Macaca mulatta: one gene and its partners. The protein of the gene in region 1 interacts with the protein of each later gene in a pairwise test. Links are inferred from orthologs where the notes say so. Each region holds a gene or a part of one and is shown in the gene's direction. Other genes may lie near its edges. The genes, in order: OPRM1, VAPA and GJA4.

What was found.
Region 2: the proteins of OPRM1 (region 1) and VAPA interact in binary tests that used the Homo sapiens proteins (3 or more experiments, as listed by UniProt). The link is inferred for Macaca mulatta from reciprocal best matches to the Homo sapiens genes OPRM1 and VAPA.
Region 3: the proteins of OPRM1 (region 1) and GJA4 interact in binary tests that used the Homo sapiens proteins (3 or more experiments, as listed by UniProt). The link is inferred for Macaca mulatta from reciprocal best matches to the Homo sapiens genes OPRM1 and GJA4.

What each region holds. Positions count from the first base shown.
Region 1 is NC_133409.1:72,905,427-72,909,132, forward strand, and holds part of OPRM1 (mu-type opioid receptor), read left to right. Parts: intron 1-2,814; coding exon 2,815-3,167; intron 3,168-3,706. UniProt on the Homo sapiens protein: Receptor for endogenous opioids such as beta-endorphin and endomorphin. Receptor for natural and synthetic opioids including morphine, heroin, DAMGO, fentanyl, etorphine, buprenorphin and methadone.
Region 2 is NC_133423.1:80,910,820-80,914,525, forward strand, and holds part of VAPA (vesicle-associated membrane protein-associated protein A), read left to right. Parts: intron 1-1,487; coding exon 1,488-1,661; intron 1,662-3,706. UniProt on the Homo sapiens protein: Endoplasmic reticulum (ER)-anchored protein that mediates the formation of contact sites between the ER and endosomes via interaction with FFAT motif-containing proteins such as STARD3 or WDR44.
Region 3 is NC_133406.1:206,049,824-206,054,307, reverse strand, and holds the start of GJA4 (gap junction alpha-4 protein), read left to right. Parts: upstream 1-1,564; 5' UTR 1,565-1,666; intron 1,667-1,761; exon of another isoform or gene 1,762-1,928; intron 1,929-3,056; 5' UTR 3,057-3,073; coding exon 3,074-4,075; 3' UTR 4,076-4,484. UniProt on the Homo sapiens protein: One gap junction consists of a cluster of closely packed pairs of transmembrane channels, the connexons, through which materials of low MW diffuse from one cell to a neighboring cell.

The sequences.
Region 1 (3,706 bases):
CCATATTTAGAGTCCAAACTAAAATCACATTATTTTCTCTCCTCAAGTTAAATGGCTCTACCTTTTTCTTTAAAATCCATTCAGAGAGTGAAACTTCTAAAGCAAGTCAAGAAAAAAAAAAAAAAGCCCTGAAAATGTGGAGCTTTTCTGGCAGTAATGCAACTTCTGCAAGTATTGCAGACCGGATCAGGTATCAGAATTTTAAAGCTTCAGTAACAAAGCCACCCTATTGACCCTGAGGAGATTTATGAAATCACTTTCCTGATGTTATTGAAACCAGAACACTTTCCTGTACACAGAATTCAGTCCGAAAGAAAGGGCCTCCAACCAACAGCCGTCTTGGACTGAATGAGTTAGACTCAACCTCGTGTGATGGAAAAATAGTAAACACAGCTAACATTTAAAAGGAATTGATGGCACCATGTAAATCAGAAGCCCAAGAAGGGCCTGGCTTGAGGTATGGGGTTCTCTCTCATTCTCTCAAATCCACATCCTCTGGATTAGGTCCATTTTCAGACAAGCTCCTCCAGCAACTACATACCATACATCTTCTCAGGTGTGGGTCCTGCAGGAAAACTACTACACTCTTTCTCCGTAAGTCTCAAAATAAACTCTCACTGGCTCTGGTTGGAACATGAGACCATCCTTGCCATTCACCATAGCCCCAGTCACTGAACATCTTCACGCCCTGGACTAATAATAGAGCCCATCACAAAGCACCTGGACTGAGAATGGGAAATGAGTGGTTCCCAGAGTGAAACTGAGGTACTATTACTAAATGAAGGTAAATATATGTGGAATCTTAAAAAAAAAAAAATTGATGTCCAATATTTGCAAGGTATACTTCTGCCATCAGATATAATATATTATTGCAAGTGTACCTGCTTATCCATTCTACTATCATATTTCTAATTTCTGCAGGCCTTGAAAGCATATGACACTTCTAGATACTTATCCAGGAGAAAGAAAAGCATATAAAGACTTGCACAAGAATGATTATAAACAGTTTATTTGTAACATCCAAAAGTTATATGCAACTCAGTTCCCATTGATAGGTGAATGGATTAAAAAACAGAAGAGTGGATAAGTAATACTACTTGCCAATAAAAAGGAATTATTTCTTGTTATATGCAACAACATGGATGAATCTCAAAATAATTACACTGAGTGAAAGAAGCAGCACAAAAAAAGAGTACATACTGAATGATTCTGTTTGCATCTTCTAGGAAATGCAAACTAATCTACAAGAACAGAAAGAAAACCAAGATTGGCAATTGCCTAAGGAACAGTGAGGGTGGGATATGAGGACAGGGAGGGGCAAAAAGGAAAGATTAAAGAGCTACACAAAGACACTTTTGGGGGCAATTGATGTCATTGTCTTGATCAGGAGTTGACTTTTTTTCTGTAAAGTGCAAGATAGTAAGTAACTTAGGCTTTGCATGTGATCTGATCTCTGTTGCAATTATTGAACTCTGCCATTGTAGCATCAAAACACTCATGGGTTTTTAAATGGGTGTATCCGTGTTCCAATAAAACTATTTATAAAAACAGGCAGTGGCCCAGTTGGATCTACACACCATAGTTTGCCAATCTCTGATCTTAATTATGGTGGTGGTTTCACAGGTGTACACATGTATCAAAGCTCATCAAGTTGTACACTTTAATTATGTGTTATTTAATGTAGGTCAGTTCTACCTCAATAAAGCATTAAAAAATAAAAACAAAGCAAACACACTTGGGTTCCTCATCATGGATTGGATACAGTCTAATTTTCTTACCATGACATACAAGTTCTTCAGGTACTGGCCTCTCTTTTTCCCCAGTCAGATCCGTTGCTATTCCCTGGTAGAATGTGCTTGACACACACCTCAGGTCACTCCAACTCTACACCTTTGTTGGGGTTCTCTCTGTTACCTCTCTGTCTAGAATGACCTGCTCCTACCAAGTGTCTAACTCAATCATCCTACTTGTACTTCGAGATTAAATTTGCACTTCCAGGATGACTTCCACATCTTACTCCTGCTATTCCCTTTGCCTTATGCTCTGTGAGTTGCCTCATCTCTGTGCTTCATAATATCCTGTGTGTTTGTATGTGCATGTGTTCGTGTACATACTATCTACAGACGTGCACAATTATAATTCTTGATAATTTTAACTATATTTATATAGCTAAAATTTTCTCTTTTATATTTACAATTACTATCCAGTCACTGCCTCTACTACTTGACTGGAATCTCCCTCTTTCTATTGGACCTATCACAATGACTGACACAATACCAAAAAACAAAAAACCTCACTGTGTGCTCATGCCTGTAATCCCAACATTTTGGGAGGCTGAGGAGAGAGGATTGATTGAGCCCAGGAGTTCAAGACCAGCCTGAGCAACATGTTAAGACCCTATCCCTACAACAGTTTTTTTAAATTAACAGGGTATGGTAGCATGCACCTCCCAGCTACTCAGGAGGCTGAGGCAAGAGGATCTCTTGAGCCCAGGAGGTTGAAGCTGTAGTGAGCCCTGTTCATACCTTTATATTCCAGCCTGGGTAACAGGGCAAGATCATATCTATAAAAAAAAAAAAAAAAAAAAAAAAAACCCTCAACAAAGCAGCATCATTGCTATTATTACAGCTATTCAGCCCATAGGCACATCATTGACATCATTGTAAATAGCCAAGCTAATACTGGAAAATAATTCTATATCGAATCTCAAAAAAGCTTTCTATTAATTCATGCAAATTTATTATTGGAAGCTTACCTGTATTTTACATGAGTGTCTTTTACTGACTCGGACACTCTTCTTCCTTTATCTCCTAGATACACCAAAATGAAGACTGCCACCAACATCTACATTTTCAACCTTGCTCTGGCAGATGCCTTAGTCACCAGTACCCTCCCCTTCCAGAGTGTGAATTACCTAATGGGAACATGGCCATTTGGAACCATCCTTTGCAAGATCGTGATCTCCATAGATTACTATAATATGTTCACCAGCATATTCACCCTCTGCACCATGAGTGTTGATCGATACATTGCAGTCTGCCACCCTGTCAAGGCCTTAGATTTCCGTACTCCCCGAAATGCCAAAATTATCAATGTCTGCAACTGGATCCTCTCTTCAGCCATTGGTCTTCCTGTAATGTTCATGGCTACAACAAAATACAGGCAAGGTGAGTGATGTTACCAGCCTGAGGGATGGAGGGTTCACAGCCTGATACGGTGATGTCATAAGCAAAGTAGTATTTATAGAGAGGTCCATCATCTTAGTCAAATTGTAATTTTAATTATTCTTTCTAGTAAAAAAAAATGCCTTTGAATACTTTAAAATTGGAATTTTCCTCATAATTTTAGGCCTATTAAACCCTTTAAAGTGAATATAATCTATTTATTTCTGATTTCTCTGTATTTACTTCATAAAAATGGTGTGTAAATTAGAATATAGCTCTCCCAAGAGTAATTGGAGCTTAAACCCAAAGAGTATTACACTGAGGCTTGTTGAAAATTTTCAAGTGGCTGATTACATGGCAAATTTGTCTTTCTACACCTAATATCAGAATATTGAACAATCTATCAAAAAATGAAGTGAAAACATCCATTACGTGGAGTCTCCTAGAGACTTTGGACAATTATTACATTTTTTATATCAATGTAGACCTCATGGAGGATCTAGCTCATGTTGAGACGTTCATTTTAGTTCCCTTAATGAAAC
Region 2 (3,706 bases), on another chromosome or scaffold:
CAATTCTTAACTGAAACCTAGAAGTTCTTCTGTTGCCATATTGGTGGCCATTGCCACCTCCTTTATAAAGGAAGTCAGTGTGCCAACTTCATTATCAGAAGTTGGATTTGTGTTAGGATAGAATTTGACTACACTGAAAATCATTTTGAAATGAGTTCTAACTACTATTAAGGAAAATAATAGGAAAATGTATTGGCAGGGTAAGATATATCTGAAGCAGTGTTTTAATAGTAGAGGTGGCTATTATTAGATTGGGGTGGAAGAGATTGGGGTGAAGAACAAAAAAGCTGGCAAGAGAAAAACTCAGAGAAAGAATTGAAGTATGCTTCTTTAATTTAAACCTTTCTTAACTGGGAAGCTTGAAGAAAAATGGAAGAATCTGCCGACAGGTCAAATACATACTGTTGTTGATTAGAACCTCATTATAAATTTTCATTTTTAAATAGATTTTACATGGATTTAGGCATAGTAATCAAATCACATCCCCTTCATAAGAAGAACAAGTTTTGCCCTTTGAGCAAACAATCTGTTTATACTTAATATAAATTTGGCAGCTGGGATGGTGTGGTAGGTGTGCAGCCTCTGATAAATCTTATAAAATGAGTATTGTGGAATGCCATAAAGTTGATTTTGTAAATGTCTTTGTTAGCAGTTTATAGCTGAAAAAGCAGATTTTTTCTAAAATTATTTTAAAGCAAGTAAAAATTTAATTAAAATGAAAAAACTTGTTACTCTAATACTGCTACTATGTGTAGTGACATAAATGCTGTTAGAGTGAAGGATGTTGGGGTACTTCAGACCACAGGCTGAAGAATATGTAGATGCTGTCATAGATATTTATCTCCAGGCCTTCAACACTAACTTCAAATGGTTCAGTGTTGGTTAGGATTAAGATTTTGGGGCTCATAGTCTTCAGAGCATGCTAATTTTTACTGTGATGTTGAATCACGTGGATTAAAGCAAACAGCATTACTAAGATGATAATAGAAGTTAGCTTTTTTGGCATGTTTTTTCTTAGGTAGTTTCTAATTTTATTGGAATGATTGCAATAATATCCCCCTACGCCCCAGAACCTTATTTGAATTGCAGAACCAGAGCATGGAAAATGACCTTCGTATTTGGATTTTGTTGACGTCAGTCATTCAGCATACTTGGATTGAATAACTACTCTTGACCAAAGTGCTGGTTTTAGGGGTAAATACAAAGAGAGATGGCTCTTGCTTTCCCAGCCTTTGAAGTGTTATAGGAAAGAACTTGAACAATAATTATTAAGATACATAATAAAGTGCTATGGTAGACGTACATGCCAGCGGTTATGGGAATAGAGGGAGTGGGCTCGTTATTTAGACTAATCTGACTGCTGGCATGTACTGATTTAGGCCTTTTAAAGAGTTTTTCATAAACAAAGATGTAGAATTTATGTTTTTGTTTGTTTAAAACCTGTAAGAAGATTTGGTAAAAAAAATCTCAATATCTTTGTAATACAGAATGACATGGAACCTAGCAAAACCGTTCCACTGAATGCATCTAAACAAGATGGACCTATGCCAAAACCACACAGTGTTTCACTTAATGATACTGAAACAAGGAAACTAATGGAAGAGTGTAAAAGACTTCAGGGAGAAATGATGAAGCTGTCAGAAGAAAATCGACACCTGAGAGTAAGTTCTGTTGGTTGAAAATAAGTTGATTTAAATGAAGGTATAGGACATGTGAGTGTTATTAGGCCATTTTAGCAATTAGTTTTTAAATTTATCCTTGGTCAGTTCTTTCTTGTTTTCCCCAATTTGATTATGTCCTGACCTTTGCTCCCCACCCTACTCCTCTCTTAAAAGTCTTCCTGTGGTTTCTCATTGCCACAGGTTCCTTACCTTAGCACACATTCTAATCATTTGTGATCTGGCCTGCAGCATTGCCAGCTTCAGCTCTTGTTTCTCCTGTCCTTCCCATTTTGTGCCCCAGTCACACTGAACTAGGATTGTGTTGTCCCACATCATAGCCATTAGTCACCTAGGACTGTTGAGCGCTTGAAATGGGATTTGTTCAAATTGAGCTGTGCTGTTGAGTGTAAAATACTGATGTTGAAGAGTTAGTACAGAAAAAGGTAAATTTTTCTTTTTTTAATGGTTACATACTGAAATAGTAGTTTGGGTATATTGGGTTGAATTGAATATATTATTAAAATGAATTTTACACATTTCTTTTTACTTTTTAAATGTACTATTGGAAAATTTAACGTTACATATGGGGTCACATTTGAAGCTCACATATTGGCGTGGGGCAGCGTTGGGCTGGAGTATGCTGGAGAAGCATCTGTTTATCACCCCTCTTTCGCTTTAGTATCAGCTCTTCACTGTGACTGGAAAGGCTCAGAACCCTGTCCCTCCCGACACAGCACATACACATATTAATGTCTTGCTACTATATTCTTGTTGATTTTTCAGTATAGCGTTTGCTGGGACCCTCTCCAAAAGAAAAAAAAATCGATTTGTCCTGTCTGCTTTGTGCCACCACTATGCCGATTGCATTCTACTGCTCTTACTTGTTAGAGGCCTTTCTCCCTCTAGTGGGCAGTAATTTCCTTGGGGACAGGGGCAGTGTTTCATTTCTCTTTGCATTCGCCGTACATGTGTGTAGTAGTCATATATTTGATTGAATAAATGGATGGTGAAGGAGGACCGATTTGAATATGTGTGAAATTTATGAATAATACTTGTCATTGACAAGTAATTGTTTCAAGACCTGAATTCCTATATGTTGCTCTTTAGGCTTTGTCTGAAGCTCTTTGCAGCAACGTAGATGATACAAAAATATATGTAACTAAAATAAGCTAAATGATGGGAGTTATTTGATTATTCCTTTTGTTAGGTGTATATAGGAACTGCACTCTGAACACTGTATCTTAAGTCGATCTGTGAACTCCTTTGCTGAAATGCTTTTTAAAGTGAATTTTTGTGTCTCTTCATGTTTGATACTTCATAGTACCCCCTTGAGGGGTACCCCTCTGCTTCCAAGTGCTTGTCTGGATAGCGGGAAGAATATCTTTATTTCACACCTACACACCATGGATCTTTTAAAGGATTTTGTTGGTTACTTTTACTTGATCTGCCATGACTTCCATAGTTCTGTTCTTTGATAAAGATGTGCTCCTTAGGGTGCTCAATAGATTTCTTTCAAAAGCCACTGTTTACCTCTGGCATGGAGGGGAGAGTGTAAACAGTAGGAGTGACAGGTGGGGCAGGTCTGGAAAATAGGAAGAATGAACCAGGGAAGTGAGAGAGACTTTATTCCTGGTTTCTGCTCTTTGTATGCTAATGTTCTGTATGAGATTTTATTTGAGAGATGATTCTGCTGTTGGAAAAGTAAAACAAAAAAGCTGTGCTGGGCACGGTGGCTCACACCTGTAATCCCAGCACTTTGGGAGGCCGAGGTGTGTGGATCACCTGAGGTCAGGAGTTCGAAACCAGCCTGGCCAACGTGGTGAAACCCCTGTCTCTATTAAAAATACAAAAATTATCTGGGTGTGGTGGCGGGTGCCTGCAATCCCAGCTACTTGGGAGGCTGAGGCAGGAGAATCACTTGAACCTGGGAGGCAGAGGTTGCAGTGAGCGAGATCACACTGTTGCACTCCAGCCTGGGCAATAAGAGCAAATCTCAAAAAAACAAAAAAAAATAAAACAAAAACCTTGGAGACCCACTGGCTTAC
Region 3 (4,484 bases), on another chromosome or scaffold:
CACTGGTTCTTCCCTCCTTCCCAGTAGACGGAATCAGAAAGGCTTTGGGAGAGCTGGGCCCAGCCCCAAGAGAGGAAAACTTGGGAGTGAGCAGAGGCTGCAGTGGGGGCGTGGTGAGAACCAGCCTCCAGGGGCCTCGGTTCTCATGCCCTCAAGGGTCAGAACTAAGTGGGGCAGTTGTTAGCTTCAGAGATCCAGGAGACTCAGTTCAGCCTGGCCCTGATGGAGAGACCTAGAGGGGAAGCCAGCTCAGCCAGATCACCCAGGGCAGCTAGCCCTGAAGTTCTCAGGTCTGTGTGTCCCCAAAGATGTCCTCCTGCTGGTCCCGAAGACAGACCAGGGACCCAGCCCTGGGGCCCAGGGAATCCAAGGACTAAATCTTGCTGTGGAGGAAAAGGGACTTCTGTGTCATCAGCCCCAGGCCTCAACAGCCCCCTGCCAACTTCCCTTTCCTCAGCTGTGCCCGCCCCTACCACCGTCCAAGAACAACCCACAGACCCTTTTTGTTACAGTATCACAATGTTTTTAGCCACCACTCACTTGAAAAACTTTAGGTACCACTATTACACTATGTGCTTTGATCACACTGTATGCTGTCAACCCCACAAAGTAGGTATTATCACTATCCTCATTCTGCAGAGGAAGAAATTGAGGCACAGGGATTTGAGTAACTTGCCTAAGGGTGCAGGAGTCAACAGCAAAGTCTCAACTCTTAGGCTCAGCCACCAAGAAAGTCTCAGCACTCTGAGGGCGGTGTCCAGTCTCAGAACCCCACAGCTCCAGGCCCTCAAGCCACACTCATGCCGCCCCTCTACCTAGAATGTTCTTCCCCTCCACTTGGTTAATGGAGGGGGAAAAGCATTTCCTCTCCTCCAGGAAATGTTCCTAACCAAGTCCCCTGGGAATCACCCAGTACCTCCCAGGAGAACTTTCCACATTTATTATCTTACCGTTATCCAAGGGCTGATATGCTCAATCCCTGCACCAGCCAGTGAGGGAGGAGGCCAGATATCACGTTTGGCTGGTTCCTCGTGGTATCCCAGGTCCCCAAGCAGCGGCTGCAGAACAGCAGACACTCATTGATATTCATCCACCTGTGATGCCTGAATGCATGACAGCAGGCTCTGCATAGCCCTTTCACTCCTATGAATGTCCCCCGCACCACCCGGCCACCATTTAGAGGCATACCAATGGGTCCAAGCTAAAGGTCAGGTGGTTCCCCTACCCCCAGTCTCAAGGAGTCCATGGGACTCGCTTAATGGCCTCCGATTGTGTAGCCTGCCCAGGCATGGGGATGTTTGAGAATTCTGGAAGAACGTGGGCTGGGTGTGGGTAGAGACCCCAGCTCCACCACGTATGCGGGAAGCGTGGATTACAACCCCTGTCCCCCATTGGAGCTTCCCGCGCCGTAATTAGCCTTGAACGCCTCATCCTGGCACACTAGGGCCACCTAGCAAATGAGTGGTTCCCACACCCCGTCCCCATCCGCCCACCCCTCACAGCACCCCAGGCCAGTTGCCCAGATCAACAGCTCTTACTGCAACCCTTTCAAATCCAGATCCCCTAAGAGATCCTGGCCTGGGAGAACTCCTCTTCCCTGGCCAAAGAAACGACAGGAGAGTTTACCATCTGGAATACCTGGTGGAGAGAGAACAGGAGAGGAAGGGTAGGTCAGCCCCTCTTGCCCCTCCCCACCGCAAATCACAGGCCCACCTCCCCGGAGTGGGTTTAGGGAGTCTGCACCTCCCAGTCCCCGCCCCCGCCCTCTCTCCGGCCCCCGCCGCCCTCCCCGTCGCGTTTCCTGCCCCCACCCCGCCCCTCTGCGCTATTTAAGGCGCCCCCGCCGCCCGTGCGGTCCAGCAGGGCTCCCGCGGGCGTCGCTCCGGCCATCGTCCCCACCTCCACCTGGGCCACCCGGCAGGCAGGCGGTGAGTCGGGGGCTAGGAGGGGACCGGGGGTGCCACCTGCTCGCGGGAGGCCGGGCGGAGTCTTGGGTCCTCCGAGGCCGGGACGGGGGTTGCTGCGGAACGCCCGCCGCGACAGAGCCGCGCTCACCCAGGTGGCCTTGGCCAGGCTCCCACCCTCTTTCCATGGAATCCTTATAACAACCCGAGGCGGTAGGAATACTATTGTTTCCACTCTACCATGGAGGAGACTGAGGCGCCCAGAGGTTGTTCCTTATCCAAGGGGCCGCAGTTTCTAAAAGCCAAGATTTGAACCCAGGGCCACTTCCAGAGCCTGGCTCTAAACAGCTTTGCACTTGGGAAGAGGCACCTCCCTCTTGGGAACTTTGTGGCCTGTGCCTCACCCTGCAATAACAATTCCTTTCAAGAGTCTAGAATTTGCCAGCATCAGCTTTGGAGATGGAAGGGGGTGGGAGTGGAGGTGGACGAAGAAGACAGGACCAAGTGTCCCTCCTCAAGTGGCAGGTGGTCATTATTGCTGACCGGTGGAGCTAAAGGATGATGCTGCCTTCAGCTCCTAAAACCCCTCCCGCCTCCCAGCCCCTGCAGGCTCAAAGATTAGAGTGAAGCCAGCTGGGTAAGATATGAAGCAGGGAGCAGGGACCGGAGGCTTTGAGCCCCCTAAGAAGCAGAAGATAACACCTCTACCATCAGCACCAGCCCCCACTGTCTGGGGGCAGCCAGCCTTGGCTAAAAGGGAGGAAGGGCTTAGCCCAGCTGCACAACCTTGGATATATTCCTCAAATTCTGTTCCCACAGGCAAAGGAGCCTCAATTCCACCCAGATTTCCTTGGTCTGTGTCCATCCTAGGGCAGTGGCTTGGGGACAAGAGGGATATCGATGTCTGATTAGGCAGGGACCTTAGCCAAAGCAGAATGAGACCATACAAAGAGGTTGACAGCCATCATCCAAAGATCTGCTTTGGGTCCTGCCTGCACTGCTGAGTGGGAGCCTCCAGGCCAGTCCTTCCCCTTCCTGAGCCTGGGTTTCTATGTAGGTAGAACGGGCATGGCAGACCTCCCTGCAGGCTTGTTGCTGGGCGAACGAGAAGGATGCCATGCTAACATGCTGATGTGCTCTGTCTCCTTGCAGACGGAGGCCCGGGAGCCATGGGTGACTGGGGCTTCCTGGAGAAGCTGCTGGACCAGGTCCAGGAGCACTCGACCGTGGTGGGCAAGATCTGGCTGACGGTGCTCTTCATCTTCCGCATCCTCATCCTGGGCCTAGCCGGCGAGTCAGTGTGGGGTGACGAGCAGTCAGATTTCGAGTGTAACACGGCCCAGCCAGGCTGCACCAACGTCTGCTATGACCAGGCCTTCCCCATCTCCCACATCCGCTACTGGGTGCTGCAGTTCCTCTTCGTCAGCACGCCCACCCTGGTCTACCTGGGCCATGTCATTTACCTGTCTCGGCGAGAAGAGCGGCTACGGCAGAAGGAGGGGGAGCTGCGGGCACTGCCAGCCAAGGACCCACAGGTGGAGCGGGCACTGGCGGCCGTAGAGCGTCAGATGGCCAAGATCTCGGTGGCGGAAGATGGTCGCCTGCGCATCCGCGGAGCGCTGATGGGCACCTATGTGGCCAGCGTGCTCTGCAAGAGCGTGCTAGAGGCAGGCTTCCTCTATGGCCAGTGGCGCCTGTACGGCTGGACCATGGAGCCCGTGTTTGTGTGCCAGCGAGCACCCTGCCCCTACCTCGTGGACTGCTTTGTCTCTCGCCCCACGGAGAAAACCATCTTCATCATCTTCATGTTGGTGGTTGGACTCATCTCCCTGGTGCTTAACCTGCTGGAGTTGGTGCACCTGCTGTGTCGCTGCCTCAGCCGGGGAATGAGGGCACGGCAGGGCCAAGACGCACCCCCGACCCAGGGTACCTCCTCAGACCCTTACACGGACCAGGTCTTCTTCTACCTCCCCATGGGCCAGGGCCCCTCATCCCCGCCATGCCCCACCTACAATGGGCTCTCATCCAGCGAGCAGAACTGGGCCAACCTGACCACGGAGGAGAGGCTGGCTTCTTCCAGGCCCCCTCTCTTCCTGGACCCACCCCCTCAGAATGACCGAAAATCCCCCAGTCGCCCCAGCAGCTCTGCTTCTAAGAAGCAGTATGTATAGAGGCCTGGGGCTTATGTCACCCAACAGAGGGGTCCTGAGAAGTCTGGCTGCCTGGGATGCCCCCTGCCCCCTCCTGGAAGGCTCTGCAGAGATGACTGGGCTGGGGAAGCAGATGCTTGCTGGCCATGGAGCCTCATTGCAAGTTGTTCTTGAACACCTGAGGCCTTCCTGGTGCCACCAGGCACTATGGCTTCCTCTCCAGAACGTGGCTTTGCCTGAGCACAGACAGAGTCAGCATGGGATGCTCTGGCCTTTCGCAGCTGATCCAGAGGGACCCAGAGCCAACTTACCCCAACCTCACCCTATGGAACAGTTGCCTGTGTGCAGGTTGTCCTCAAACCCTCCCCTCACAGGAAAAGGCGGACTGAGGCTGCTGGGTCAGCCTGGATCGCACAGACAGAGCTTGTGC